Linked DNA regions of Oryzias latipes. The protein of the gene in region 4 interacts with the protein of the main gene of each other region in a pairwise test. Links are inferred from orthologs where the notes say so. Each region holds a gene or a part of one and is shown on either strand. Other genes may lie near its edges.

Region 1 (6,882 bases), on a different chromosome or scaffold from region 4:
AGAAACTCCTTTAGTCGGTCCAACTTTTTTGGAAACCATATATTTCTGGAAGTATTTGAAACAGAATACATTTGCTTGATTGAGGTAAATGCTTTGATTCTTTTTCCTTTTCAGTCTTTTGCCTCGTTTGTGGCTTCAAAGATCTGCAGTGCAGAGGCCGGCGCCTCCTGGTGCTGCTGCGGCCAGACCTTCAAAGAACACTCTGCCGTTCACAAACATGTGGCCAGAGCACACGCCGCCGAAGTGCAGCAGCTGGCGCAGACGGCGTTCCAGGCTTCGCTGAGCCAGCTGGCAGAGGAAGAGCAAACACAGCGGCTGAACGGACGCGAGGCAGAAGAAGCGGACGTTTCTGTGTGGATCCCTGACGTTAGCCACGTCCCAGCGGAGCTGCTGAAAAAGTAGATCAGGGTGTCACGTCTGCCGCAGACGCGATGGGAAACACTCCTGACGTGTTCTCGTTCTCCTGCAGCGGTCCCGGCAAGGTTCTCCTTTACTACCGCTACTGCGAGGTGGAGGATCCGCACGTCATCTGCGCCTGGCAGAAAGCTCTGTGTGAGAGGCTGCAGTTAACGGGGAAGGTGACCACAAACTCCTCCGTAGGATCCACGAGGAGAAGCTCTGTTCTGAAGTGGAAGCTCTCTGCAGGTGAGGGTGGCGGCAGAAGGAATCAACGGGACGGTTGGTGGAACCGCCGTGGCCACGGATCTCTACACCAGGGCCATGATGTCACACCCCCTCTTCCAGATGGACCGAGAAGATTTTAAGGTAAAGTTTCTGAGATGCTTTTCATCTGTGGCTACATCAGGATTAAGACACTGGACTACAAATAGACTTTTTAAACGGTTGTATGATTGTTGATGGAACCAAACAGCAAAAAGAACACATTTAAAAAAAAAAAAAGAACTGTTTTCCATTTAAAGAAACCGATCTGTAGTAAGAAAACAATGAAGTGTAAAAAAAAAGAATTAAATTATCTTAAAATTATGCATAGCTACAAACCACATTGAAATTAGTTTCTCTTAAGCAAAAATATCTATATGTATATTTATAAAACTTGGGATAAACTGTCATGAATTGATCGGAAAATGAAAATATTAAAAAGTAAAGATGAAGAAATCCACACAGATATATATAGATTTATATACACTTCCATATATAAATACATACACGTGTAAATGATGCCATTTTTATTACTCTCAGACATATTTTAAATCCGTTAAATATTACGTTTGTCAAAAGGACTTTTATGTGTTGGAAAAAGAGTGGGAGGAAGCCAATGTATAGAATTCTGTCTCTACTGTCATCATAGTCATCATAATCCATAATCTTGTTGTCAGAGATATTTATACTTCACCTGTCCAAGTGCAGATTAATGAACAAAATGATCCTAGTATGTAAACTTTGAGTCAAAAGGGGACATTGGGTTTGTGGGGTACGCGTCACCTCTGTGGGGTTCTACCTAGGTTCTGCTGGGCAAACGGCACCAACACCTGAGAGCTTGGAGGCGTTCATGAGATAGAAATACATCCAGATAAATGGAAATGGCTCAAAATGATGACATGTTTGTGAACAAAAATGAATCCTAAACATGTTGGTTAATCAGAAACAACCTTCAAACTGGTTCCATTCATGTTTTTTAAATGTATTTCCTGGTTTTGTGCGTTGAGATCAGTGACGGCGGTGCCGAGTGTTTTCCAGAACTGAAGGTCGGCGTTTACCAGGAAATCGTTCCGATGGGAGTCGATCCGGATGTGGTTTCCTACCAGCTGGCAGGTGAAGGTCCTCTTCACGGATGCTGCTGCTGCTGCTGTAACATAAAAAAGTGTAAAACTCTCCATCTCTTTGCTTTCTCAGGACTTCATCTGGATCCGGAGGACTTCCACAAAGAAGTGGAGGCTCTTTTAGGGGAAGGGGATTCCTCTAACGACACCCTTCTTCTGGACTGCCGTAACTTTTACGAGAGCAAAATAGTGAGTTGCATTTTCCGTCTGTTTTTTTTTTTGTAACTTCTGAGTAAATCAGGGTTGTAGGTTTTTAACAGTTTGAGAAAATGCTGCAATACATGTCAGATCCTGCAAAATCAAGTCAAAACGTTTTACAAAACACAATTCCAAAAAAAACATAAAAAGTTCCAGAAAACAAAAGTAATTTCCATGAATCAAAACTTAATTCAATGTTATTTATATAAACCAGTATTACAACCGTAGTCGTCTCAATGGGCTTCATCCCGGCATTTGTAAAGTAAATATGAAATCAGTCATAGAGTTCCATAGGTAATGCTAAACTAAACTAAACAGACGGAGCTAAACCTCAGTAAGGAGTTGACATGTTAAAGAAAAGGTAGGTATTATGGGATATCACTGATTGGATGATGACCTCTGAGTTTTAAGGAAGAGGGAAAGCAGAGGGTTGTGGTTTTGGTGGATGAACCACTCGCTGCCAACTATGCGTGCTTTTTTTTCCTTTTCTTTTTTTTTACAACATACACAATCAAAACAACAACACGTGATAACGGGTGCCCACATCTAGTTTTTGTTTTTAAGTGAAAAACAGTTCATTTCCTTATGCTGAGTTGTGACACAATAAACTAACAGGCAGAAAATTGGGGCGAACCACTGCAGAGGGGTGCCAAGTCTGTCATAAGGGACATCACTTTGTTTGTTTTTAAGGGATTATTTGGTTTATGTTAAACTATGTGGTAGATTATGGTCAATATTTGCTTTATTTTCAGTTAAAGTCATAAATGAATAATAAAAAGGTTAAATGTTTGTTTCCCTCCTTCCCTGCTTGTTTATTGTGTGGATTTGTCCAGAGTGTTAACCAGGAAGGTTTTTTTAGAATGGTTTAGTCCGCTTTGTGTCAAATTCATTTGGTTATGGGTTTTTTTTAAGGGGGGGGGGATTTTTCTTTTTTATAAGAACAAATAATTTCTTTTTATCCATTAAAAAAAGAATAAAACAGCTTCTAAGCAAAGCAACCTTTTTCCTGCTGACTGACGGTGGACCCTCGCTGTGGTCAAGAGTGGATCGATCAATCACTGAACTATTCTAGTGGGCGTGGCCAGAAGCTTACAGAAGTATCGTTTCTAGGAAGATTTTTTTTTCCAATAAACTTTATTAACAAATATTGCACATACAAAATATCAAACATTGTCACTCCACACTAAATAACATTTTCGCATTTGACAATGAAAATGAACAAAAATCTCAAAAAAGCCATAATAATAGCAAAAAAAAACCAGAAAATAATAATCAAAAATAAATTAGGTAAAGGATTCTGCTAAAGTCTAAAAAAATGACTGTGTTTCAACTGTTCTAACAGGTTTTTTGTTTGTACAGGATTCAAAACTATTTACATATGGAATCATTTCTTTCTGAAAAATGTAAAACACTGTTCTTTTGTTAACATATATTTACATTTATATCACCACGCCAAATAACTTTCTGTTGAAAAGGTGAACAAACGTCCTCATCCAATCAGTGATATCCCATGATACCTACCTTGTTCAGTTTCTTTATTTTGTTTTTTTATTTCTGGAAGTTCCTCTTGTTTTCCGATACTTTTCCTTTTTATTTCATTTAGTCTCTAAAATCTAAATAGTTCGTTGTTGTGATCCCTAATTTGTTTTGCTGTTGATTTTTTTTTAATGTCTTTTGAGCTGCTGGGCCACCGAACTACAGACTCATGAACCGAACTTTTGGGGTTTTCTTTTCCTTGCAGGGACAATTCACTCGATGTTTGGCTCCAAACATCCGCAAGTTCAGCTATTTCCCCGACTACGTCGACCAGAACCTGGAACTCTTCAGAGACAAGAAGGTTCTGATGTACTGCACAGGAGGGATACGCTGCGAGCGCGCCTCGGCGTACCTGCGCTCAAAGGTGAGCTCTGTTCTTTTTCTTCCTGCGTTTCCATGGAAACATGTCAGCGCTCAGCTCTGCGCTCTCTGCAGGATGTGTGCAGGGAGGTCTACCAGCTGAAAGGTGGAATCCACAAATATCTGGAACGGTTCCCCGAAGGGTTCTACCGCGGGAAGCTGTTCGTGTTCGACGAGCGCTACGCCATCTCCTCCAACGACGACGTCATCTCAGGTCTGTGTGTGAGGGGGACTTTTCAGGGGGCGGGGCCAAACGTTCGCGGCTCAACCGGCGCTTGTGTTCAGACTGCAGCTTCTGCGGACGCCCGTGGGACCGGTACGAGCTCTGCAGCACCCGCTTCTGCTGCCAGCTGGTGCTGTCCTGCCCCGCCTGCAGACGGCAGGGTCACACCGCCTGCTGCTCCACCTGCCAGGCCAAAGGACGCGCTCAGGGCGGCGCCAACGGCCCGCATCACAAAGAAGAGTGCGAGTGCACCGAGAGACGACCCAGAATTCCCCAAGATGTCTGACCTCAGTCATTTGACTTTGATCTAAATTCTATTTATCAGCTGTCAAATATTATTTTTCTGTCAAAGTAAATGTTTTTAACCTTTTATCAACTCCTATGAGAAAGAAAAAAAGCATTTTGTGCATTTGAACCTGTGGCTATTGTGAAAAGCACTTTCACATTAAAAGCATCCATCTGTAATGTTGCTTTACACAATAAAAGCCATAAAAACAACCATAAATGCTGCGTGGAAGTGTGGTAGTAATTTACTGCAAAGGGGATTAAAAAAAGATGGAAACACGTTTCTGCTCTAATGAGGTGAATGAAGGAGATTGTGAAGGATTTCCAGACAAAATTTTAATTGATGGTAAAAAAATATAAAAAATTGTCTCTGGATTTTCTGTCTATGACTCAATTTCAAAGATGTCACCTAGACGCATTCATATTGTATGTCATGTTGTTTTGTCCAGCTTGAGCCGATGATCATTATAACAAATCTTTTAAAATATTTCAGTGGAAAAATGTGCAAGCAACAGGGAAACACCTCTTTTGTGAGTGCGCTACGCAAGAAAAGGCCGACAACTTTTAAAACCAAGTAGCTTCCCAGTGATGCTCGAGGAGTTAGAAGCCAATCGATCGAAATCCCTTGGAGGAGTTCAAATCTGTAGAAGGTGGAAAATTCAAGATGCCGGCCTCTTCCTGAGGTCAAAGGTTAACGAAACTTTGGTTTTGGTTGTTTTGTATCCTCCGTTTCAAAATGTCGTAAGAATTATTTTTGGAAATCTTCGTGTTGTAACAGTCGGACTGATTGAATGAATCATGTTGCCACAGGTTTTACAGTGAATGAGGGGGTCTGACCCCCGAAACAGACAGGAGCATTGTTTTGTTTTTTATCAGCTCCTTTAAGGTTAAAGTGCAGTTGCTCCATAACTGATGTTTGGACTCTCCTGGATTTGAGGGGGAAATGTAAGAAAATGGCTAGAAAGCAAATTTCATTTTGAACAAAGAAATGGAAGTTTTGGGGTTTGTTTTTGTTCTTTCAAATAAATCATTATCAGCAAAAATATTAATAAAGTCTGTTTACTAAAAGCATCTATTTGAAAAGAGGGTGTTGTTTCATGTTGAGACCAACAGTGAACAGAGCAGAACTTGCAGACGACATTCCAAGAATAAAATGCACCGCAAAAGAAAAATAGGAATAATAAAGACAAACAATATCTATGATTAAAAACAATATACATAAGGATAGGACTAGAAATGTGTTTATGTTATTGTATTTATTTTTTAAAGTTTTATTAAAAATACATTAATATAGGACTAATTAAATGTTAATTTAATTATTGTTTAAAGTTTTATTGATCTACTTTAAACTTAGGTGAATGTATTTGTTTGTGTGTCTTGCGATCGTTCCCACAGTACCTGAACGCACCTCAGTGATTCGCGCGAGGAGCTTTGCAGTTACACGTCATGTCCACTAGAGGGAGCGCCAATTCCGGAGCCCACTGACAGCTAAGCTCCTTCAACATCCCGACTGGAGGCTTCAGCTCAGCCGAGCGGACCTGGCCAGGCTGCCCGGGTCTTCGCGGGCCACCTGCAGCCTCTTTTGCCGCAGTTTGGACTCGGCGGTGACGGACAAGCGTTTGGCCGCAGATGTGCGCGTCCTCCCCCGTGAGGGCATAGGCACGGGAGCATGTCTGCGCCCGGATACACCAACCGGAGCAGCTCCGCCAGCTTCGGCCAGAACTCTCCGGCGAACGGCGGAGCGGCGCCCCCCTTCCATAACGGTGAGACAGGCCGGATCATGGTGCGCTTCTGCCTGCCCGCTGGGGGGTTAGCATGTTCACCTGGAAGTTGATTGTCACTGGTTAATATTTTTAAATTATATTCCTTAAGCTGCTCTGTTGCCCTGGTAACATTATCTACACACGGCTAGCAAACTGGAGGGAAGTGGGGAGTTTATGCTAACCGGATGCTAACTGTGGCTTAAGCTAACCCAAAGGGATCAGGGGCTAACACAAGCTAGCAGGAGTTAGCAAGCCAGATTGCGCATTTGATCTTTCTCTTTCGGCTTTTCCCATCAGGGGTCGCCACAGCGAATCATCCTTTTCCACCTCACTCTATCATGGACATCTTCTACCCTAACATTAGCCAACTTCATGTCCTCTGTTAAGACATCCATGTATCTCCTCTTTGGCCGTCCTCTTGCCCTCCTGCCAGGCAGCTCCATCTCCAACATCCTTCTACCAATATATCCACTATCCCTCCTCTGAACATGTCCAAACCATCTCAGTCTGGCTTCTCTGACTTTGTCGCTAACACAGGCAACATGAGCCGTCCCTCTGATGTACTCGTTCCTTATCCTGTCTAACCTGGTCACTCCTAAGGAGAACCTCAACATCTTCATCTCTGCTACCTCCATCTCAGCCTCTTGTCTCTGTCTCACTGCTACTGTCTCTAACCCATAGAGCAGAGCTGGTCTCACCACTGTCTTGTACACCTTTCCTTTGAGTCTTGCTGGCA
Region 2 (7,830 bases), about 17 Mb from region 4:
AAGAGGTGAAACGTCTTCCAACTTTAAAACCAAGTCCAGATGACATCCCCTAAACCTACTACAAGGGTTAATAGTTAAAAATGCTGCACGATAGGCCAACATTATGACACATTGGATTGTTGACACAAATGAAGCTCAGAGCTACACACGCTTAATTATGTTTAATACAACAGTAGCTTAGTTTCTTTCAAATAAATTGGGTTGTTTCATGATTTTCTTCAGATTCTGCTCTTAGGTCATCTGACCTGCTGAGGCTTTTAGAGTATGAGATGCAGCTTTGGAGTTTTTTTGCATGAAGTTGGGCTGAGATGCCCAGAACGTCCAGTCCTTGTAAACTATCTTGTAAGGAAAAACTAATACAAGTTTGAATTATTTTTGGCTCTGTTAGTCTGAGACTGTGTGTCTGATTTTTTCCTCATATTTCAACTGCATTGTTTACTCCAGGAAGTCACAAAGCGATCTGTGACAGTCACCTTCACCTTCCACCCTTTGTCTGAACTCCCGCGTCCTGCAGCGGTTGCCATGACCACCGTTACCAAGGACACGGGCGGCAACAGAAGACGGGGAAACACGAGCCTCGGATCTCGAGGTCACGATGTTTAATTCATTGTAGTTCCAGGGATTGAGCGGGCTCGCAGAACGTCGCTCCTTGTGCCGCCTGACCTCAGCATTTGAAGTAAAAAAATAAATATAATAAAATAAAAAAGGTTTGCGTGGCGCCTGGCTGTGAGGCCGTGTTGTTGACTGCAGCTGCGAAAAAAAAGCGCCTGCTGACTTCTTGTGAGCGCTCCGTTAAAAACGCAGGTTTGTGTTTTGGAGTGTAATCCCAGTGAAGAGGCCTCCTGGCTCATCTTTGTGTTAGCTGATCCATTCACACACACACACACACACACACACACACACATAAATGCACACGCACACTGCCCCCTCCATCCTTTGTTTTCACAGGTTCACCAGCGGCTGCTGCAGACGGCATTGATGCAGATTCTCTCTGTTCCCAGCTCCGACCTCATGGCTCTGACCCGCTGCCGACTCCACCACCAGAACCGACCCTCTTCAAACATCTGAGGTGGCTTCGCTACCGTGAGGGGAGGTGGGGGGGGCACTTCATTGGTTTGGTTGGGATTGGCGCCACTGGATGCTACTCAAAACGCTGGACTGTGACGGGATACGGTGGCAGCCTTCTATATCAGGTTCTGCCAGCCTGATCTAGAAAGAAAACACCAAAACTGCAGAGTGACAGAGCCGAGCAGCGCCACAGCGGTCCAGATCAGAGCCACGGGCCTTCCTATGAGACCCCCGCAGCGGCTGCTCAGCCTCTCAATAATGCATCACGAGGAGAAAGTTCCTTTAACGTTCTTTTGAAAGTGCTGAACGGTGGACAGAGCGACGGATGCCGAGTAGAAGAAAAAGACGAGATGAACGCTAACGCCACGAGTTTGTAGGACACAAACGGCGCCGAGAAAAATACAGCGATAAACCCACAAGCTTCAGGTAGGAGAACTTCAAAGGAGAAGATCCAGGCGGCGCCCTCACCATGGTGAACACGGGCATGCAACTGATCAGCTTCACCTGCGCCGTGACCGGATGGATCATGGCGATCGCCGTCACAGCGCTGCCACAGTGGAAGGTGTCGGCCTTCATCGGCAACAACATCCTGACCTCGGAGATCAAGTGGGAGGGCATCTGGATGAACTGCATCTACCAGACCACGGGTCACATGCAATGCAAAACATACGACTCCATGCTGGCGCTGCCGCCAGACATCCAGGCGGCGCGGGCCCTCATGTGCCTCGCCATCTTCATGGGCTGGCTGTCTTGCACAGTGTCCTGCTGCGGCATGAAGTGCACCACCTGCGCCGGCGATGACCGCCGTGCCAAGGCAGGCATTGCGCTGGCGGGCGGCATCCTCTTCATCGTCACAGGCCTTTGCGTTCTGATCCCCATTTCCTGGACTGCCAACACGGTGGTGCGGGATTTCTACAACCCCAATGTCCCCATCATGCACAAGCGAGAGCTGGGCCAGGCCATCTACCTGGGCTGGGCCGCCGCCGTCATCCTGATAATCAGCGGCGCCGTGCTGAGCAGCACCTGCCCACTTATGGAGCGGGGCGGTCGGTACCGCAGGGGCTACATGGGACGGAGCTTTGCCAACTCCCCCGCCTCCGCTCCCGATCCTCCCAAACCCATCACCTCCAGCAGCCTCCCCATGAGGGAGTACGTGTAGCAGGAGGATCCCCGCCAGGTGTGACTTTGGGCGCCGCTGCGCTGTGATTGGCTGCAGTTGTCCTCTCTGACGTGTGTGGTGTTGCAACTGCAGTGAACCCGACTGTGTTCAGTAGACAATAAAGACGATTTGATGAAGTGTCTTCAAATCCCTCGTCTTCCTCTCCGTGTCTGCATCATTGACTTCTGTCCTGCTCAGAAGGTTCTGGTTCCAGTTCTGCTCCTCCGTCTTCACTCCAGCTCCAGGAAAAATGACACTCTGCAAAGTGTTTCTGCAGGAGACAAGAGTCCCACATCTCAGAGTTGGCGGAGCTCGCGTTTCAAGCTTCGGACAGTTAATGTTACCTGTGATTCGCTGCTCGCCGTCAGGAGACTCCAGGGACTTCCACCTCTCAGGAAGGGATTCCAGCAGAGCGAGGTCGTTGGGTCTGAGCGTTTGCAGCAGAACTTTCCTCTGCAGGAATCTGAACATGAGCTCAGGAGAGCAGAAGACAGAAACAAAAAAACAGACTGCTGGCTCTACCATTCCCCGCCCTCGCCGCCAACTTTTGTTTTGCCCTGGAGGGCATGATCATAATCATAATTTTAAAGTTTTCTATGGATATCCTCCGTTTTGGCTTTGATTGAAGGATTTGAAATATATTTTTTGAACCCCATTAGAGATCTTTGCCCCATTCATTTTTGTGATGGTTTCTCCCACTGGAATGTTTATTTTATTTTATTTGTTAGTTTGTTTGTTTGTGTGTGTAGGGGGTGGACTATGTCAAGCCTTCCTATGCAGCGGGTACCGGGTCTGTGCAGATCTTGGTAAATATTTTAGCATTTGCCGTTTCGCTCTCAGAAAAAAAGAATTGCAAAAACAATCCGGTCCTTGCCGTCCATGAATGCTGCGGACCGTACCAACAGCACAGACAGGAAGGATACTGCTGCCTGTAGTGGCGCTCGGCGTCCTGAAGCCACTCCAGCATGTCTGCGACTGACGGGGTGACGGCGGAGCGCTCTGTGACGGCCTGCAGGTCCAAACTGGTGGCGTTCTGCTCATACAGCTGCATGACGGACCTCACCTGGTTACTGATGGCGTCTCTGGCAGACTGCAGACGACACCTGAGAAGGAAAGGAGTCTGTCTTAGTCCTCGGACAAGGAAGCCCTTGAAGACTGATAAAAATCATGTTTTTATCTGTTTTGACAAGTTTTTGCGGCCTTTTTCTGATGATCGAGGACATACATAAAGAAAAGTATGCTTAAAATTGGCAATCTGAAAATGTCTTTATTCAAATTGCTGTGAATGAGGAGCAGAAGAAAAAACCATGATGTCCCTGAATGCATCAGCACTGTCTCTGCTATGGACACACCTGGCATATGACACGGTATAACGGGGTGGGATTATATACGTTCGCTTCCTTCCACTCCCTTTCAAGCAATATTTATTAATATGTCTAAATATCCTAAGTTTGATTCGTCATTGTATGAATGTATAACTGATGATTGTATTGTTGTTGTGTATTGTTCTTATTTGATTGGTTGAAATAAACCATTTAAAAAAAAAAAGAAAAAAAAAGACACGCGTTCCAGAACATGTTAACCCATAGTGTTCACACAGTGCTAGTGGGTTGGGGCTTCTCCTTCTTCTACAATTGACCATGACTTGTCTTCCACCTACAGTTGGCAGAGTCTTGGTGCGAAATGTCAAAGTGGTGCAAATCTCTTGTATATCTGACTCCAGGCTTTTTCTTTTCGCATCTCTAGTCCAATATATGAAAGATTTAGTGTCATATATTCCGACTGGAATCAAATCAAAATCATTAATTTGTCCTCCATGGTCAACTTTCAAACGGTTGGTGTTTCCGTAAATTTAAAGGGGTGCCATCCATGCGTCACTACCAAATCTGAGTCCCTAATTGGTCAAAGTTCGACCTGGTTTAACTTTTAAGGTACATTTAATAGATGCACTTTTTGTACATACAGAGCTCAGAAATTATCGTAGAAACTTCAAGAGTTTAAACCAAAATGCAAATTTACATTTTTTTTATTGGTGGTTTCTTGAACGCGCATCGCTGAGGGCGGTGTGAACGTAGCTTAATGATGGTTCTAGTTTCTGGTAAAGGTCTTATGTGGCTTATTTTGATTTGGGGTTTTATCTTTAATATTTTCTTTAAACGGAAATTGTAATATATGGTTTGGTGCTAGTATCTGTACTACAGGAGCTCTTATTTTGAAACAAACTTTTTTTATGCTGTCACAAAAAACAGAGCTAATAGTCTTTTCAACGTCACAGGAGTCCCTGTGATGACGTCATCCGAGAGGCGCGTGTGTGTGGAGTTGTCGCGTGTCTCACATCTTCTCGTTGAGTTTCTCCAGCACCGTGTCCGCGGCCTCCTGCAGTTTGAAGCGCAGCCGCTCCTCCAGCTTCGGGAAGGTTCCGAGCGGCGTGCTGGAGACCCGCACGTTAGAGAGAGCTCTCATCTGCTCCGCTAGGTTCCCCAGAGACCCCAGGAGAGGGCTGCACTCCGCTAGCTCGCTCCCCCACAGCCGCTGGTTGCTCTCCAGCGCGGCGAAGCTGTTCCTGAACGCCTGGTGGAGGGCGCTGAGCGTCGGTCGGGAGATGTCAGACATGCCCTCGGCCTCCGCTCTGGCTTGGATGGGACTGTAAATATAGTTCTGACCAAGTCTGAAAGCCTCAGCAAAATTCTGCACTACTTTTCTGCGCAGAACCAGAAAGCGCTTCCGGTGTCAAGTAGTGACATATGCTGCCTTTACTGATCCTTGGAGATACGGTGCCCCATAAATACAGTAGCTCCTCAAAAAAGGCACTTGATTTCGGAAAATTGTATTTTTTCGTGCTCTCCTTTTTAAATCTACATACACACATACATACATTTTATTGATATATTTTCCCACTGGTTTTGTTAATGCTTCTGGACTTTTTGAGAACTTTTTTTTATATTTATAATCACAGGCATGTCTGTAGGAAGTTGCTATTTATCTTGGTTAAATTGGGTAAATTGTAATTGTGAGTTAAAAAAACTTTTTACTTGGTGACTATTTTTAGTATTTCCTGCCCTTCAGCTGTTTTACAAAAATGCTTTTTTTGATTCTTACTGAAACGCTTTCCATCAGGGGACGATTCATTTTTTCCCGAGTTGTCTTCGAACGCAGCATTGAACATTCGCAGTGCCGAACCCTGATGACGGGGCTCAATCCACGTCCTGATTGGCTGGATTTGTGTCTTGGCTCCGCCTCGCGCGGACATTTGAAAACGACTTCGCGAAGAAGGCAGGCCAGAGGGAAACCCACACAACTGTTACCTTTGTAAGAAAACCCGCTTCAAACTCAGACGAATTGAATCTAAAAACATTTATATCATAAGTGAGACCAAAGAATGAAAACGGGAGTAAATTAATCTGCCGGATAAACTCCTGCCGATTCCAAAGCTAACAACATAGCTGCTAACGTCCTCGGCGGCTTATTTTTTTCCATCTCGAAAACAACGTTTCACAGTTTTCTCCTGTTTGTGAAGTTCTGAGCGGACATGGCGCCCAGGAAAAGGACCACGAAGCAGCGAAAGAACAACCAGAAAATTGAAAAACTGGAAGTTTTTTTGGAGGATTTCGACAGCGAAGGTAAACGACAATGCTAGTTCGGCTTAAGTAAAGGCTCGGCCTACAGTTTGTTGTCTGAAATAAAGTGTTCTGAAACCCAACAAACCGAACCTGTTCAACCTTTGTCAGTAACAGCTGAAAGAGCTGACCAGGTTGGGGATATATATATATATATATATATATATATATATATATATATATATATATATATATATATATATATATATATATATATATATATATGCCAGCTCTTACCAGCTAATTCAGAATTGACAAAGCCTCTTGGATAAGGGGTGAAACATCTTCTAACTTTAAAAACTAAGTCTAGATGACAGCCCCTAAACCTACTACTATGATGGAATCAACCTGGATGAATGAGTCTTCAAGACAATCCAAAGAAAACAAAAAATAACTTCATTTAGCTGTTATAATTTGTTATTATCATTTGGAAATTGCAGGTTTTTTTTCATGAAAGACCCTACAAGAGTTCCTCTCCTTATATGTGCAATTTCATGCACTAATAAAAAAATGTGCTCAAAAACTAGTTAGAATTTGTTTGTAAATTTACTGATCGCTTATTTCCTGTTTGTGTTTTTTGTTTTGTTGCTAAAAAGATAATTATACGTAAAAAAGGAAGTTCTGCTCCTTCGAAATGATGCAATAAACCGGATCATAAAGAAGTGGATGGAAAAAGTGCTATAAAAAAACAATCTAAATTTTGATATCAAAACTCATTAAATATGCATCTTTTAAAGCTTAGCATTTTTTAATAGCTTGAAAAAATTAAATACGAAGAAATGCTATTTAAGCCTTATTTCTTTACTTATGTCCTCCATCATCAGAAAAATGAACATGTTAAATACGCCCTTTTCATCAGAATGGATCTTCCACATATAATTTTTTTTCTAGTAAAATTTCATTTGTCAAAAACATCAACAAATTCCACTTATATAACACTTGAGGCAAATGAAAACTATCAATATATACTCGTATCACGTAACATTAAAATGTTAAACTTATCAATGTTAGTCCATTTATTAAACAGTTTTTCATTTATTTCTCATAATTATCACAGATTAGGCTTGCATTACAGTACACATTAATTAATATACAATTTAAAGATGGATTTTAGCTTTTCTTTGGCCTTTTTCCTGCTCCTTCATTGATTCAGGCCCATATCATGACTCTGCCACCACCTTGCTCAGAGCACTTCCTTATTTGGAAATGGCGGGCATCGAGAAACAATGGTTGCTTTTGTCAGCTGAATTGATTTGATTGGTTAGCAGGATGGAGCTCGCCTGAGCTCTTAAACCCAGCGAATCAAACCCTGCAGGAGTTTGAATCAAAAGCCAAGAATGAAAACATAAACTTGGTTGTTTCTGTCTCAGTGAATACCAGAGTCGTTCAGATGAAGGAAAAGATCAACCACCTTCTGAAGGACATCGACAACAGCTACAACATGGCTCTGATCAAGCTGCCCATGGCCGTGCGGCAGATGAAGTGGATGGACTTCTACAGTAGGTCCACGCCCTTTGACCTCTAAGCGAAAAGTGATGCGAGTTTCAGATCTTCTCACCTGTTATACTGTGTCTCTGCAGAAATGGAGAAACCCAAGACTCCAGAGGTGGACAGCGTCAGGGTGAGTCTCTTCTCCTTCTGCTGTCAATCAGCTCCTTTCTGTCGCTCACTGGAACTCTGCCTCCTTCGCAGCAGAGAGAAGAGGAAGCCGCCGTGGTCGAGAGCGTGGTGGCCAAGGACCACGCCAATCTACCGAAGTCTGTGAAGAAAAGTACGTAGAGAGCAGCATTTTCAAAACAAAAGCCAAACCGAAACCTTCCTCACTGATTTGTCTGTGTTTGGTTCACGCTAGCCACGAGAAAGAAAGGCGGAGCCAAGTCCAGCTTTGAGGACGAAAACACGCCAAGCACAACCAGGAAGGTAAAGTCTGCTGTCACTTTTAACGCCAAGAGAACGCTGCTGCTCGACACGGGAAGTTCACACTCC
Region 3 (7,666 bases), on a different chromosome or scaffold from region 4:
TCAATTCTCAAACAAATCAGGGTTTACACTCCTTCAGTTTGAGCCTGAAAACAAGAGGAACAGAAGTGAAATGGTTAAACTAAAAAAAAGTTTGTTTTTAAGGAAAAAAGCTCAAAAATCTGTTTAAAAAAAAAGGTTTGTTGCAAAAGTACCTTCATTCTTCCAGCACATATTTACATGTTGTAGATACATTTTCAGTGTCTTCTAGTGTTGTGCAATATTTCACAGTAACTACATATCAGTGTCTTTTTAATATTTGATGAACTTTTAAAATGAGTAAAAAAGGAAAACAATTGTGCAAACAGACCAAAATAAAAACGAAGCACCTATAAATATTATTTTTTTCCACATCGACATGTTTTTTTTGTGCTTGTACAACAAGAAACACTTTAGTAATTCTGTTTCTTAAATAGTGGAACAGAATGCATTTCATCATTGCAGATGACTTCCTGTCAGCTTGGTCAACGGCAATACAATAAAAAACAAAAAAGAAGTGCATTTGTGTTGGTTTTTATTTCAAAAACATAGCTTTTCGTCATACACAATAAATTAAAAATATATGATATTTATAATGAAAGGAGAAAACACACACACAGATCATTAGAAATGAGGCTTCATGACACAAACACAAGACGACAACCTCACGTGACACAAACTATGCTGCTCTCAGATACACCTCTGGAGGCATTTCGCATTGAAAAATGTCTGTTTCCTTTGAAATGTCTGCACCTGCAACAGTTTAGTGTACGAGTTGTAAAGTGATATAATCTCCAAAGTAAAATTCTTTGTTTTTGACCAGATTTGACAAAACAAAACGCACAACTGATAAATCTCATGATACAACTCTTAGTCTCTCTACAGCTGACAGCATTCTGTCCCCTCATGGACTCTATTTTTTTTCTTTTTTTCTGATAAAGCAATGCGTTACTGCCAAATTCATGAAAATACAAAGTTCTAGCACAGCTTTCCTGTGAGGCACAGCTCCACATTTTAATGAGCAGAGCTGAAAACCTATTTAATTGACACCTTAATATCTCTTTATATAATGAAACACTCTGATAATTTGCTTGAAAAGCATGCATCGGTCACAGCAGCACTGTACAACATTCTGCAGGGAGAAGAGGAAGTGGATGAGGACTATAAACAAATTAGGGTTAGCTTAGCTGATGAAATGTGCTTCCATAGCTGCACAGTGTGGAGTGAGAAGCTTCACTTGGGTAAAGAAGAGCAGGTGCGCGATAAACAAGGAGTGCTATTAGTTGGGAAAAAAATGGAATTTTAGTAATTTGGGTGATTTATTTCATGCTTAAAAATAGGGAGATTATCTTTTATTTAATGAACTTTGCACCAAACCATAGCAAGTGCTAGTAGTGTCAAAAGTATGTGTTTGAAAACTGTCAACTTTTTATTTTAATTGAACTACCTTGAATTGAACTACCTTTACTTTAAATATGATTGACAGGAACCGTCTTTATGAATAGATAGAGGAAAGTCTAACAGGCTTGGAGAGCAGGTGACAAGCAGGGAGCTACGTCTGAGGAGAAACCTTCTCGCCACAGAGCCAGAGAGATTTTGGTCCAGCTTTAAATTATGTTTCTGTTTTTGAAGATGAGTGTGGTCTTCTGGGTTCCTTAGCTGGGGGCGGGGTCTTCACAGCTCTCCGCACATGCAAAAATGACAACAGATGCTCTGAAGGGTCCGTGCAAAAGTTGGAGGAAGGTGGAGTAACCGGCACGGCAAGCCCCCCGCATCTGCATTCGTGGAGGTTCTATGTGGCTGCTCTTCTTCTGGTCTTCACAAACTTGTTTCCAAAAACAAAACAAAATCAAACGTGGAGAAAAAGACACACAAACATACTATAGTAAATAGCATTGCAGGAAGAATTACACTGAGGTGCATCAACACTTTTTGCAAAGTTGATATTCAACATAACCTACAACTATTGTTTCAGAAAAACAAACTGCAGACTAACTGTAACTGGTTGCCTAAATCCAAGTTCATGTCAATAAATGGTCCGATCCATTTTTTTTCTCTGAATACAGCTCTGTACTGATCCAGTAGATAACAGCTGTCAATGAAAACATAGTGCAGATTTTAATACTGTTTTAGGATTTGATATACATAGTAAGATAAATGTCATCAGTCCTGGTTTTCTTGCATAAATTTCATCCTAATATTTATCTATTTTCTCTGACTGTGTAATTCTGTGCTATACTGAGCACAACTGTCATAACCACAGGAGGCGATCGGCTCCCTTTCCGTACCTGAAAATTAACTCCAAAAAAAATGTCAGAGGTCCGAGACACTCTGGGATCCCACAGCAACACGTTTACCTTCAAAGGGCTATGTAACAGGACGTCCACTAGCAGCCACATTCCTGGGTGCCCTGCGGCTGAGCACGGCGAGGAGAACGAAGCTGGCGTAACGCAGCGTCCCCATATTGGATTCCTGACCCCATCCTCTCTGGATCTAGCTCTCCTAAGAGTAGAGAAATGGTGCTGATTAATAGAGATAAAGAGAAAACAACCTACAGAGGTTTCATCCCCACTACAGACTTTTGGACCAGCTGGTCCAACACTCCAGACTAGCTCACTGAAGCCCTGAGCTCCACCTGAGCTTGGACTATCCCATTAGGATAAGAAGGGATTTGGAAATTGTGTTTAACAAATGTGGGCAAAGATTAGAACTCCTCACCTGACTCTATTTTATTCAGGATTTTCCGGGCACACTGGACAAAGGCTTCTTCAACATTCTCTCCTGTGAGAGCGCTGGTCTCCAGGAACATTAACTCTGCCACAAACACAGAGTAAGGATGAGAGCAGCCGCTATGAAAACCGCTGATGATTATTCCACACTAATGGCCAGTCAGTGCTAAACAGTAAACCATTGAGTAATTACGTATAATGAAAGTTAACTGTATAGTTTTTAGCTAAGGATTATAAACTTAAGATCGAACCATTTTCCTGAGCGAAGCGTGACGCCTCCAGAAACGTGACCTCTCTGTCAGCATCTAGATCCTTTTTGTTCCCACACAGGATAATTACAATGTTTTGACTGGCCAGCATCCTAGCATCACTTAACCACGTGGTTAAGGCGTTGTAGGTTTCTCGACTGAAGCCACAAAAACAACAAAACAAATGGTTAAGCAGTCAAAGTATACATAATAAAAGAATAACGCACCTCGTCTTACCTGGTGATATCATAGACCAGCAAAGCTCCTGCTGCTCCTCTGTAGTAGCTCCTGGTGACGGACCTGACAAACATATACTGGTTAAAGGGAACATTGTTGACACTTAAGCAAATGCATACCAAATCCATTTAGTAATTATTGCCAATTTAAGACAGAAATGGAAAAAAAAAAGTTGTAGCTGTGCACCGCCGACATCTCTAAAAACGCAACATCCACAATGTAGAAGGAATTTTTAAAGATGTTTAGCTACCTGAAACGTTCTTGACCTGCAGTGTCCCAAATCTGAAGTTTGACCATTTTGTTCACCACACTAATAATCTTGGAGCCAAACTCCACTCCAATTGTGTGGTTGGACTCATCTTTGACTGGAAAATCATAAATATCACATGTAAGTCATATATTTTCAACACCTTAAAATGACCTACTGTTTACAAAAATAAAATGCCCTTTTTTAATCTGATAAAGATTGTGACTGCTTTGCTAAAATCTGTTTAAAAAATAAGAGTCAAACTAAAAATATTCATCAAGATTTGCTTAAAGTCCCACTCCGATCATCTTTTGAACTATTGTAAAAGCGTTTTCAGTAGTTTTTAAATAATGTTTATGCTGTTTTAGCCAAAATTGAAAAAAGCAAACAAACTCTTGTTGTGTTGGACATAGTATCTGCAGAGCGGCAGTAGGTTATTAAAAAATGAATCTTTGAGTTGTGGACGGGACTGGGACCTTTCCCATCTTCCTTTTGTTTACACTCCTCTAGCTTACAGCCCCTCACACCCCCTCAACATTAGTGGTGCAACAAAAATGGCGAGCAATATTAGAGCTATTCAGCTGTACAGTTTTAAGCTAGATGTTAGCTCACACGAGGAAAATGAAGACGTTCATGGATCTATTTGTTTACAAGTGGATGCATCGGATTGAAGCGGAGCAGGGAGCTTGTAGCTCGCCATAGTAGCTTCTATGTCACATCTACAAGCAACTGGTCCTGAATCACAGTGATTTGAATAAAGAAATACTCAGAGATGCAATTTTAGGCTTAATTTTTACATAAATGTCCATTATAATGAGAACAAAATGTCACAAAAATATGTTAAAAACACACAAATAACGACTGTCTTTGAGTGGGACCTTAAAGATATTTAAATAAAAGAGTCGGGCAATTACTGTGTCATTATTATAAAGCTTTTTCTAGTGATTACAACTGAAGCAAACTTACATCTCTTTTCTATGAACTGGTGCAGAAGGCAGGATTTGCCTGTTCCAGCATTTCCAATCACTAGGAATTTAAACAGAAAGTCTGCAGAGGGAACACAGTAGTAACATAGATAAAGCAAACAGGGTTTGAATATGCTGCCTTGTTATTAATAAACTCAACTATTCTTAATTTTTTTTTGATACAGTTGTTGACATGTACACATCTGATGTCTACACTATACAAATCAAGACAAATGTGTCGTAAACAGATCGAACAAAGCCTTATATATATATATTTATTCTTTACTCCCACTAAGATAATTATCATGTTTAATGTTGGTTCAATTGATTGAACAGTTGTAGCATAGTGTAATTTGAGCAATGCCTCACAAAACACAGAGATATCCTATCATCACTTGCGTTTGCAAAAGAAAAGCGGGAGTCTCTTGCTTTGTGTCCTAGTGCTTATCCCGGGAACAATAGCATCTCCTATAGTCACAGCTTCTTGCATTATAAAGCTTTACTAATACACCTGTACCCGGAAGGCAGATTTATTAACGCTGACATTTGAGTTTAAAGGCCAAAACCTTCCTACTCCTCAGTGGCTCGGTTAGCCTGCCAGCTAGCTATTTGTTTACGAAGGGACCTCATCATCCCTTTCCTGCCATCTGTGTGTGAGATTCTAACGGGTATAAAGCAAGACAGCCTCCTTACCGTAAGACTCCGACATCCTCGGTGTGTCAGCTAAGCTGCAAGGCAGAGAAAGGCGAAACTGTTATTTGTTTAGCTTGCTAAGTGATGGAAATAGTCCTGTTGGTGATTTCCTTGGATTCTATGATTTCCTCCTCCAACTTCCTGTACGGTGTGTGTGGGTTTTTTTTCTTCAAAATAAAAGCATTCTGAAATGACACTTATGCCACATAGTCCTCAAACTACCGCGTGGGGGTGATGTTTGGATATGTTCTTATGGTTTCAATTAATGAAAAATAAATTCTCGCCGTTCTAAGTAAATTTTAAAAACAGCCCATTTCGCTGAGAGTTTTATCTATATGTAAATTAATTGGTTTGCATGTTGTGTACAAATTCTCTCTTTTTAACATATTTTTTGGAGGATCTAGGAGGTGGCGCTCTGAATTTACACAAACGTCAACCGAGTCCGTGGTTGTCCAAAGAAGAAGAAACGTAGTTTCCCCCGCTAATCATTAGCCTAGCTGTGGGCATTATTTATCTTAAAATGGCTACATTATTCCCTATTATTAGACCACCAAGTGATAGCAGTCCCGCTACTCCTGGGGCGCACTCCATGAAGGTGATTTTTTTCTACTTTGATAAATATCCATTAGCTGTTGTTTACGGGGAAACATGACGATGTTTTGCTAACAGATAGCTAGCTAGCCAACGGACGTTTCCATTCACTAGGACAACTGTCAGCCACTTTTAGCAAAATCATTTGTTTTCAAATGTGCTCAAATTACTTCCTCTTGAAGTAATTTGCTCCTATTATTCGTGTATTTCTCTATTAGTTTGCAACGTTGAAAAAATATATAAATAAAAAAAAACTAGATTGTGTAGCCATTTAAATATAAAGTGTTGCTAATTTTTTCCCTGTGTAATCCTAGTCAAACTAGTTTTGCACATGTTCCCATTTTCACAATAATACGGAGCCCCTAAAGGGCCATTGATGAAAAAAAAAAAAACTTGAGGAAATTTTTTTTTTTTGAAGTAAAAAAAAATTCTTTGAGCTAAAAATTTTTTTTTTGAAGTAAATAGGAAAAAAAACTAACTGGTGCGCACCAGTTAGTTTCAGGTGCGCACCAGTTAGTATCAGGTGCGCACCAGTTAGTTTCAGGTGCGCACCAGTTAGTATCAGAAGATATCAGATAGTTGACCTGCTTGCTCATTGTGCACCAAGTAGCTACAGTTGTCTTGAGAATGGCTAAAGTTGAGGATATGGACCTTATAAACTTTCTGAAAACACGAAATATTACTGACAATGTCATAATGTCACCTGAAACTAATTGGTGCGCAGCTGAAACTAACTGGTGGGCACCTGATACTAACTGGTGCGCACCTGAAACTAACTGGTGGGCACCTGATACTAACTGGTGCGCACCTGAAACTAACTGGTGCGCACCTGAAACTAACTGGTGCGCACCTGATACTAACTGGTGCGCACCTGATACTAACTGGTGCGCACCTGAAACTAACTGGTGCGCACCTGATACTAACTGGTGCGCACCTGATACTAACTGGTGCGCACCTGATACTAACTGGTGCGCACCTGATACTAACTGGTGCGCACCTGATACTAACTGGTGCGCACCTGATACTAACTGGTGCGCACCTGAAACTAACTGGTGCGCACCTGATACTAACTGGTGTGCACCTGAAACTAACTAACTGGTGCGCACCAGTTAGTTTCAGGTGGGCACCAGTTAGTTTTTTTTTTCCTATTTACTTCAAAAAAAATTTTTTTTACTCCAAAAGAATTTTTTTTACTCCAAGAGAATTTTTTTTTACTTCAAAAAAAAAATTTTTTCCTCCATTTTTTTTTTTTCATCAATGGCCCTTTAGGGGCTCCGTACAATAAGCTTTTCGATTCTATATATTTTGGTGTTCATCTGTTTGAAAAAAAATGTTGGTGAATCTTTTTTCCACTTCTGTAGGAAGATGTAATTGATGAGGTATCTAATGATGGGAGCCAGCCACCGAAAAGGAGGAGAATGGGTTCAGGGGACAGCTCTCGGAGCTGTGACACCTTCAGCCAAGAGCTTGGGTAGGCTACTTGTTTTTGCATTACAATTTGCCATTATTCTTAAGTAATTGCGTCAGATACCAACTTATAAATCTAATGTGTTGTTCCTGCCCCCACCTCCTCATCTAGGGTGACTTATTTCCCAGCAGAAAACCTAATAGAGTATAAATGGCCTCCTGATGATACAGGAGAATATTACATGCTGCAAGAACAAATCAGCGAGTATTTGGGTGTCACGTCATTCAAACGCAAATATCCTGGTAAGAATTGAACAATAATTCACAAAATGATCAGGAAAGGAAATGTTTAAGTGCGGTTGATTTAGCAACTGCCCAAATTATGTTTTGACCAGGGAATTTTTTTTAACATTCTTGTGCAGATATGGAGAGGAGAGACCTGTCTCACAAAGAAAAGCTCTACCTACGTGAGCAAAATGTTATCACTGAGACGCAGTGCACCCTGGGTACGAGCCAACCCTAAAACTCTTTGTTAATGCACAGACTTCATACATTTATTTATATTTCTTACAT
Region 4 (6,868 bases):
CTTGATGGAGTTTCTGAAGTGTTGTTGATGACTTTGGAGTGTCCTGGAGACACGTGTACCTTACTTAGCTGACGTTACACAACTTAAACTACTCTTTGCTCCGGTAACCGTGGCGTCTCTTAGGCTGAGTTAGGCGACGCTGCCTCCTTGAGAGCTTGGTCATGATTGCTGCTTCAGTGTTCTCTCCATGGAGTGTTTTTATAAACCCAGGTCAAACACTGTTTCAGCTGTAGATAGATACTTTATTCATCCCTGAAGGGACATTTTAAAACATTACTGTTGGTTTGTGGCCCCATTTGGCTGCTTTTACCAACCCCCTATATGACCAATGATTCAAATTTCAGGAACTATTGACATGTCCGCCCATTTAACCCTTCCCTTTAACTGTAGACGACTAATTTCTGAAGCCCCTGCCCCGTTTCCTCAACGTTCCTGCTCCATAGAGTTACATCGTCTGCAAAGTTTGCATCTTCGACCCTTATGAAGTCTGAATCTGTCAAACCGTCATAGTTTTTGATGACACAAGTTTGGTAGAAAACATTATGAACGACTAAAATCTCTGCTAAACTAAGACGTTTTCATCTAGGAATGCGTACAAACATTGAATTAAAAAAATTCAGGCATTTAAAAAAATTAAGTGGTTCTTTTTTTTGCCCCTACAGACATAGAACACGACAAACTACGAATGTCACAAACTTCACAAACAGGTGAGAAATCATTTGAGAAGCACTTTTAACATTTGAAATTAAAAGATGTGAGGGAAAGAAAACAGAAGAGTTTAAATTTCTATTTACCAGTTATTTTAAGAAAATTGATGTGAAAAAACATGTTAATATGGTTTGTGAAAATCCATTTTATAAGTTTTGAATGCAATTATTTTAAAATGGTTTTGAATATCATGTATCTCAAGATGTAATCAGATTAAAAGGAGATGCCATAATTTAATCTACATTTATCTGCACACCTATTGGAAATAAAATAAAAAAAACGGCAATTGAAGAAAACATTTATGCAGATCTAATTGCTTGTTTTAAGGTTTCAAGCCTGTTTTTTTTCTTTTCTTCCTTTCCAAGGTGGGACCGCTCAAAGCAGCAGCTCGCGTGTTTTCGTCTCCGCTGTTCTCTTCTTCACTGTTCAGATTCTTCATCTTGTTTGAGGCTCATTTCATACATCTTGTTACCAAAACTGCAAGTGTAAATAAAGATGTGTTGAGGTTAAGAAGCTGGTCTTTTTAGAAGAGGCGTAGACGGTCACTAGTACAGGTTGGGACAAATTGTTAAAAATTTGACTATTTTGATTTTCAAGGCTCTTTTTCTATCTTTTAATCACAAAAAATTGTAAATCTGTATAAAAACTTCTAGTTTAATTAAAAAAAGATCACCAGATAGTACACTATTTTCAACACCCAGTAATTAGTTGAGAGAAATTGTAAATTATATAAATAAGGGAACTTGATCCAAACACTAAAAGGGTAAATCAATATTTTTTTGTGGCAAATCAGAATCATTTATTGTCATTTCCACAGCTTTTACACTGACATAAGAGATTGTTCGATATGATGATGTAAAAGATTTGCAAATCATTTATAAATCATCAGATGATCCAGAGGATTTTAGACTCTCAATTAGGAAAAGACATTAACTTTAAAAATTCTAATAAATGAGGGTTTCTCCGAATGAACATGTAAAACTTGTTTATATCTTGTGTAAAAAATAACATTTTCAATCAAGGGGTTTTAATTTTTAATGCATTTATTTTATTTTCATGTGTGTGTGGTAGCATATGACATTTGATTTTGTGATTCCTGAAGCTATTCCCTTCTGCTGTGCTTCAAACGCAAAGATGACGGCGCTTAAATTAAGTCGAACGACCGGCTGAATTTCCTCTGAACTGAGCAGAACCAGAACGTTTTTAAGAAACTCGTTTGATTGATTTTCCTGGATGTCAACCAAGTATTTATCGACATAATGAACAAGAATTGATGGAAGTTCTTAACAAGACTAAACCGGATCATTGTGAGTCCCAGATAAAAGCCAGAACTTCACTGTAGGACTGTTAAAAATGAGTTCTTTTGAGTGTTCCTGTAAAGAATTAAATGATTTTTTAGAAACGTCATGGTAACAAATCTGAACATCTGACTGAGTTAAAAAAACAAAAACAAAAACCTAAAGTTTACTGAAAATAATGATAAATGTAACTGGAAACAGGCACTTTAATGAGCATTAATAAGCTTTAACTGATATTTTTGTTTTATAAAAAACAATAAACCTGATTTTTGCATTTAAAATTGTCTCTTTTACTGAATAGACAACAAAAACTTTTTAAAATATTCTTAGTCCAAATAAAACTAAACGTGATGCCTTCATTTCTGCTTTTTATTGTTTTCACCTCAACAGATTCTTGGTGCACATGAGAAAGTCCTGGTGGCGATACACAAACATCATAAATGACACACATGGACAAATGAGAAAACACAAGCTGCATTATGAACAAACACATCAGCAGCGTAGAAAACAAGGATTGCATCAGAAGGAATAGATTGAATGCTTTACTAAAGCATTAAAAAAAACAGTTAAGGAGACTCGCCAATAATCTCACAAATCCCAAACACGAAGACGGCTCCTTTAGGCTCAACATGTGGACGAGGGTTTCCGTCTGATGGAGAAGAGCTAAAAGTTGGGCTTGTGCTTCTTCACCTCCACCATCAGGTGGTGCAGGTTGATGAGCTCCGATCGGACGGCCAGGCTGCGGAACGTGGGCTGGTTCAGGACCTTGTGGAAACCGTGGTAGTACTGGATCAGCTGAGTGAGAGCGCCCTGCAGGGGAAGACGAAGAGCGAGATGTTTTTTCCCAAACGGGGCTCTATTTTGAGGTTTTCTCTTTCTAGAGGACACCATGACGGGGTTATTATCGGTTTTCTATCATTTGTGTTTCTGTTTTTTTGCAATTAGACATTGACTTGGAGACAGTGCCAAGCAAAACCAGGCGCCGCTCGTCACTAAGCCGATACTGTCCCTACAGAGAAGCATGGTGGCGGCAGCATCATGCTGAGGGGATGTTTTTCAGCAGCAGGAACTGGAGAACTAGTCAGGACAGAGGAAAAGATAACTGCAGCAATGAAGGGACATTCTGGATGAATACATGCTTCAAAGTGCTCTTGGTTCGAACACTGTGGCGTTTTATTATTTTAAATGAATTTGATCCATTTTGGAAAAAGGCGTAACGTTAAATTGTGGGGAAAAGTCAAGAGCTGTGAATGTTATGTCATTTCATTTTATAGTTTGAAGGGACAGAAACTTCTCTTTCTTTGAACTTTTTCCGGATGATTTGAACTTTTGAAGGTGAACTAAAATGAATGTGTTTTTTTTCATTTAAACATATTTAAATATCTCTGCATCATTTTTTTTTCATACAAATAGGTTAATTTAGATTATTTTATGTCTAGTAAACATCATTTTACATGAAAGTACCCACAGACTCACATTCTGGTTTTAAAGGTGACGATAAAAACACCAAATCCTACCAGGAAGGTTTTAGGAAAGTGGAGTTTCATTTCCTCAAAGTCTTTTAAAGAACACTTCTCAAAACGCAGGCTAAACGTGACAGGATCTGTGGCGCCCCCTGGGTTAGGAACCGTTCTCCGTCACCCACCCCAAACAAAACCAGAACAGAGATTTGAAAATCCCACGTGACGATGAGGAGAATTGATTCGATTAGGACAAACCCACATGAATCAGATGCTGCATTTGGTACAGAACAGGACAACATGAGGGAGGATAGAAGTTATCGGGGATTTTGGGATGCAGACTCAATCAACTTCTTTAAAAATGTTGCATGATTGGTCCGAGTGGTTTCCATGGCAATCCCTCTCACCAAGGGAGCTTGATGGAACCATTGAAAACAAGGGAAATCAGTTTTGAACGCTGGACACACCGTCATCGAAGCTTCTGATTGGTCGTTTATTTACTTGAATTTGGACGAAAAAACAAGATAAGCTATTTTAAAAAAAGTAGCAGAGCAAGAACGGTTAGTCTGACAAATAGAGTAAAAGCTGTTTATTTCTCTATAGAAGTCTATGGGATCAGCGCCAAAGGGGGAGGGGTCCCTCAGTCCGGTTCATGATCTCAACGCAATCAGGAGGTCAGTCGAGGTGTTTTAGTGCCACACCTGGCCGCTGGCTCACCTGTATGATGCTGGTTCCGTTTTTGAAGTTGGTGAAGGACCTCATGACGTCTTGACTCATGGACTCCACCGACTGCTTCCACGTACTTGAGAAGCCGCGGACCAGCTGGGTGATTCGAGCTGCAGACACACGTTCAAAGTCACTGTGGTGTGTGTGGTTTCACACGCGCTTAGAGCGGAAAAAAACGACTGTCCAGAGACAAGAAAGAAGAGGCAGCAGGCGGAGAACGAGACACAAGAGGAAGGAAATGAAAGTTATGAGGAGACGATTCAGCAGAGCAAACTAAACTATGAGTGGACGGTTACTCCGTAAAACAAAACTGAACCTGTAAATGAAAGTGACACAAGCCGAGGATCGGCCACAGAAGTGGATATGAAATGCGCTCAGGCCACAATCAATAATAAATATGGGGACATTTTAAACGGACCAAAAACAGAGTTCAGTGTTCTGTTCCCAGATTAAAAGCCAAACCTTTAAACACACTAAAGGGCAAATTCCAAAAGAAATGATTTCCCCAATGACTACAATATGTTTAAAAAAGACACTTTAAATAAAAAAACAAATCATATGTATCTTTATTTTCATAAGGAAAACTTTTATCAGTAGTTTTTCCTTTTCTTAGAGCTGAAATTCCCACGTTTTTTCATTTTTCATGAACCTTTTTGCGTGAGCAGAGTTCAAAAACCTTTTCCCACAGTCATCATCATCATCATCATCATCATCATCATCATCATCATCATCATCATCATCATCATCATCATCAATGCCAAACACATGAAGACATGGTCTTCCATACGTGCGCTTAGCTCACACAGACTAATGCCTGTGCTGCCCGGATTTCCCATCATCCCTCTGTTGACACGTGTGCCTAAGGCTTCACACAACTGAACTGCTGAGGACCACAAAGTGAAGATGAACTCTGTCAGAAAAGCTGTGCATGCTCAGAGCGGTCACATGTGCTAAATAAAGGTATGAATGGTTGCCGACTGATCATTTCCTGACCTCAAATAGACCAGTCACCCTTTTTTGTGGCAAACTGGAGGTTGAGGATTCTTATCTACACACCACAATGCTGGCAGTGAGACAAGCCGCTCGCTCATTAGTGTGTTTTGACATCCAGATGCAGCCTAAGAAGCTTCAGCACGTCACCAAGAAGCAGAAACAGTGGATCTACACGGAGATCCCAAAGGTCGTCCTATCTGCAGACCATCCACCCGCTCCACCTCTGGTAGCTTGATGCTTTTTCTTTTTACATAAACTGCTACAAAAAAAAAGAAAAAGCTGTGGAAATGAGATGAAAATGGATCGATATGAAATTTGACTCGGAGTAAACAAATTGTGTGAAAAGAGACGCCGTCTTTTACGGAAACTTTCATTCTGGGTGCAGTGTGCCTGATCCGGCGTGGGATCAGGCCTCTGATCTGCATAGCTGCTCCCCCACAAGGAACAAAATACAGATGCTTGTTGCACAACCCGAGCTGTAACCCCATGACCTTCAGCAGTCACTTGCTAGTTTTTGACTAAACCCTCCACTGTGGGCTGCAAGATTCCCTTTTCCGTGTGTATATTTATTAATATTTACCAGTTTGCTTTGAAACAAAAACTTCCCCTTTATGCTAAACAGCATCGGTGCCCCCCCCTCTTCTATCATTACAGACAACAGTGCTGCTCTCTGTATTTACTGATGAATGATGGTTCTTAGTCTCCAATCTTTGTATTACTTTCCACAAATTAATGTACTTTTTCAACTTTGCTAATTAGTTGTTTTAATTTTCTTTGACCAAATTGTTTTTGCAGTAAAATGCTGCAATTCTTCAACTGACCACTAGAGGCAGATCTGAGCAAGGAGCAATTTCCCATTGAGTCCCATGTTAAAATGTTAACCTTTGTATCAAGAAAACAAAAACTAATGTTTAACTTGGTGTAAAAAAACTTCTTACATACTTTAGTGTTTTTTGTCATTGCTTTATCTTTTCTTTCATTTACAGGTAAGATTTCAGATTTCAGTTAGGCGGGGTTATGTTTGTTATTTTCGCCTTGGTTCACCCTGAAGCCTTTTAAAGTTATCTTTGTTTGGTATTTATTCTTTTGTTAGTAAATCTGTTATTTTTGTACGGAAACAATCTTTTGGTGTTATTAATGTAATTCGGGGCAAACACTTGCCTTTAATGTTGTGCTCCTACCTCCCCCTAGCCATCAAATGGGGCATAACCGAAGGTAGCTTCCTGCATGTGTAATTTAATCAAGCTTCTTGCCTGAGGTCTTCCTCTGTTTCCTCACCTTCCTCGTTCTTCAGACGGTCCAGCTGCCCTTTTTCCATCAGTGCCTCCGCCTCCTTGACGAAGGCGATCATCCCACCAAAGGGAGGAGACAGGATCTCCTCAATGAACTCCTGGAGGAGGATATTAGTAACGAAGAATTCGGTAAACTGTCTAATTTAAAATCTACAGTGGATTTCAAATTTGTTATCAACAATAACATAGAAATTACACAATAAGTGAAATAGTTTATTCAATGGCTGTGTCTATACAAACGTTTTGACACCATTAAAACATTAGATTTCGTTTAACTTAAGGTTTTTTGATTGAACCAACAACCACAGACCTGTGTTCTGGCCAGGAGCAGCTGCTGGAAACCTTCAACCTCTTTGCTGTCGTCTGCTGCCCTCTCCTGGCCAAGCCAAGC

What was found.
Region 1: the proteins of vps52 (region 4) and tstd2 interact in binary tests that used the Homo sapiens proteins (3 or more experiments, as listed by UniProt). The two-hybrid records come from large-scale screens. The link is inferred for Oryzias latipes from reciprocal best matches to the Homo sapiens genes VPS52 and TSTD2.
Region 2: the proteins of vps52 (region 4) and c11h1orf109 interact in binary tests that used the Homo sapiens proteins (3 or more experiments, as listed by UniProt). The two-hybrid records come from large-scale screens. The link is inferred for Oryzias latipes from reciprocal best matches to the Homo sapiens genes VPS52 and AIRIM.
Region 3: the proteins of vps52 (region 4) and rab4a interact in binary tests that used the Homo sapiens proteins (3 or more experiments, as listed by UniProt). The two-hybrid records come from large-scale screens. The link is inferred for Oryzias latipes from reciprocal best matches to the Homo sapiens genes VPS52 and RAB4A.

What each region holds. Positions count from the first base shown.
Region 1 is NC_019868.2:27,744,031-27,750,912, reverse strand, and holds the end of tstd2 (thiosulfate sulfurtransferase/rhodanese-like domain-containing protein 2), read left to right. Parts: intron 1-114; coding exon 115-398; intron 399-469; coding exon 470-578; intron 579-645; coding exon 646-765; intron 766-1,667; coding exon 1,668-1,773; intron 1,774-1,854; coding exon 1,855-1,970; intron 1,971-3,720; coding exon 3,721-3,879; intron 3,880-3,950; coding exon 3,951-4,089; intron 4,090-4,160; coding exon 4,161-4,384; 3' UTR 4,385-4,603; downstream 4,604-6,882. Other genes in the region: protein transport protein Sec24B, read left to right, coding at 6,053-6,146.
Region 2 is NC_019869.2:20,073,347-20,081,176, forward strand, and holds c11h1orf109 (uncharacterized protein C1orf109 homolog), read right to left. Parts: upstream 5,260-7,830; 5' UTR 4,841-5,259; coding exon 4,563-4,840; intron 3,331-4,562; coding exon 3,151-3,330; intron 2,691-3,150; coding exon 2,572-2,690; intron 2,499-2,571; coding exon 2,458-2,498; 3' UTR 2,228-2,457; downstream 1-2,227. Other genes in the region: claudin-4-like, read left to right, coding at 1,538-2,227; cdca8 (borealin), read left to right, coding at 5,757-5,847, 7,215-7,343, 7,425-7,465, 7,537-7,615, 7,697-7,764. UniProt on the Homo sapiens protein: Part of the 55LCC heterohexameric ATPase complex which is chromatin-associated and promotes replisome proteostasis to maintain replication fork progression and genome stability.
Region 3 is NC_019861.2:24,496,606-24,504,271, reverse strand, and holds rab4a (ras-related protein Rab-4A), read right to left. Parts: upstream 5,246-7,666; 5' UTR 5,112-5,245; coding exon 5,096-5,111; intron 4,485-5,095; coding exon 4,404-4,484; intron 3,556-4,403; coding exon 3,441-3,555; intron 3,254-3,440; coding exon 3,191-3,253; intron 3,112-3,190; coding exon 2,957-3,111; intron 2,791-2,956; coding exon 2,695-2,790; intron 2,479-2,694; coding exon 2,363-2,478; 3' UTR 2,334-2,362; intron 1,802-2,333; 3' UTR 1,789-1,801; downstream 1-1,788. Other genes in the region: phf10 (PHD finger protein 10), read left to right, coding at 5,616-5,690, 7,048-7,157, 7,266-7,396, 7,516-7,599. UniProt on the Homo sapiens protein: The small GTPases Rab are key regulators of intracellular membrane trafficking, from the formation of transport vesicles to their fusion with membranes.
Region 4 is NC_019869.2:3,214,423-3,221,290, forward strand, and holds the end of vps52 (vacuolar protein sorting-associated protein 52 homolog), read right to left. Parts: intron 6,854-6,868; coding exon 6,788-6,853; intron 6,576-6,787; coding exon 6,464-6,575; intron 4,303-6,463; coding exon 4,184-4,302; intron 2,817-4,183; coding exon 2,670-2,816; 3' UTR 2,358-2,669; downstream 1-2,357. Other genes in the region: uncharacterized protein LOC101166061, read left to right, coding at 663-707, 1,074-1,156. UniProt on the Homo sapiens protein: Acts as a component of the GARP complex that is involved in retrograde transport from early and late endosomes to the trans-Golgi network (TGN).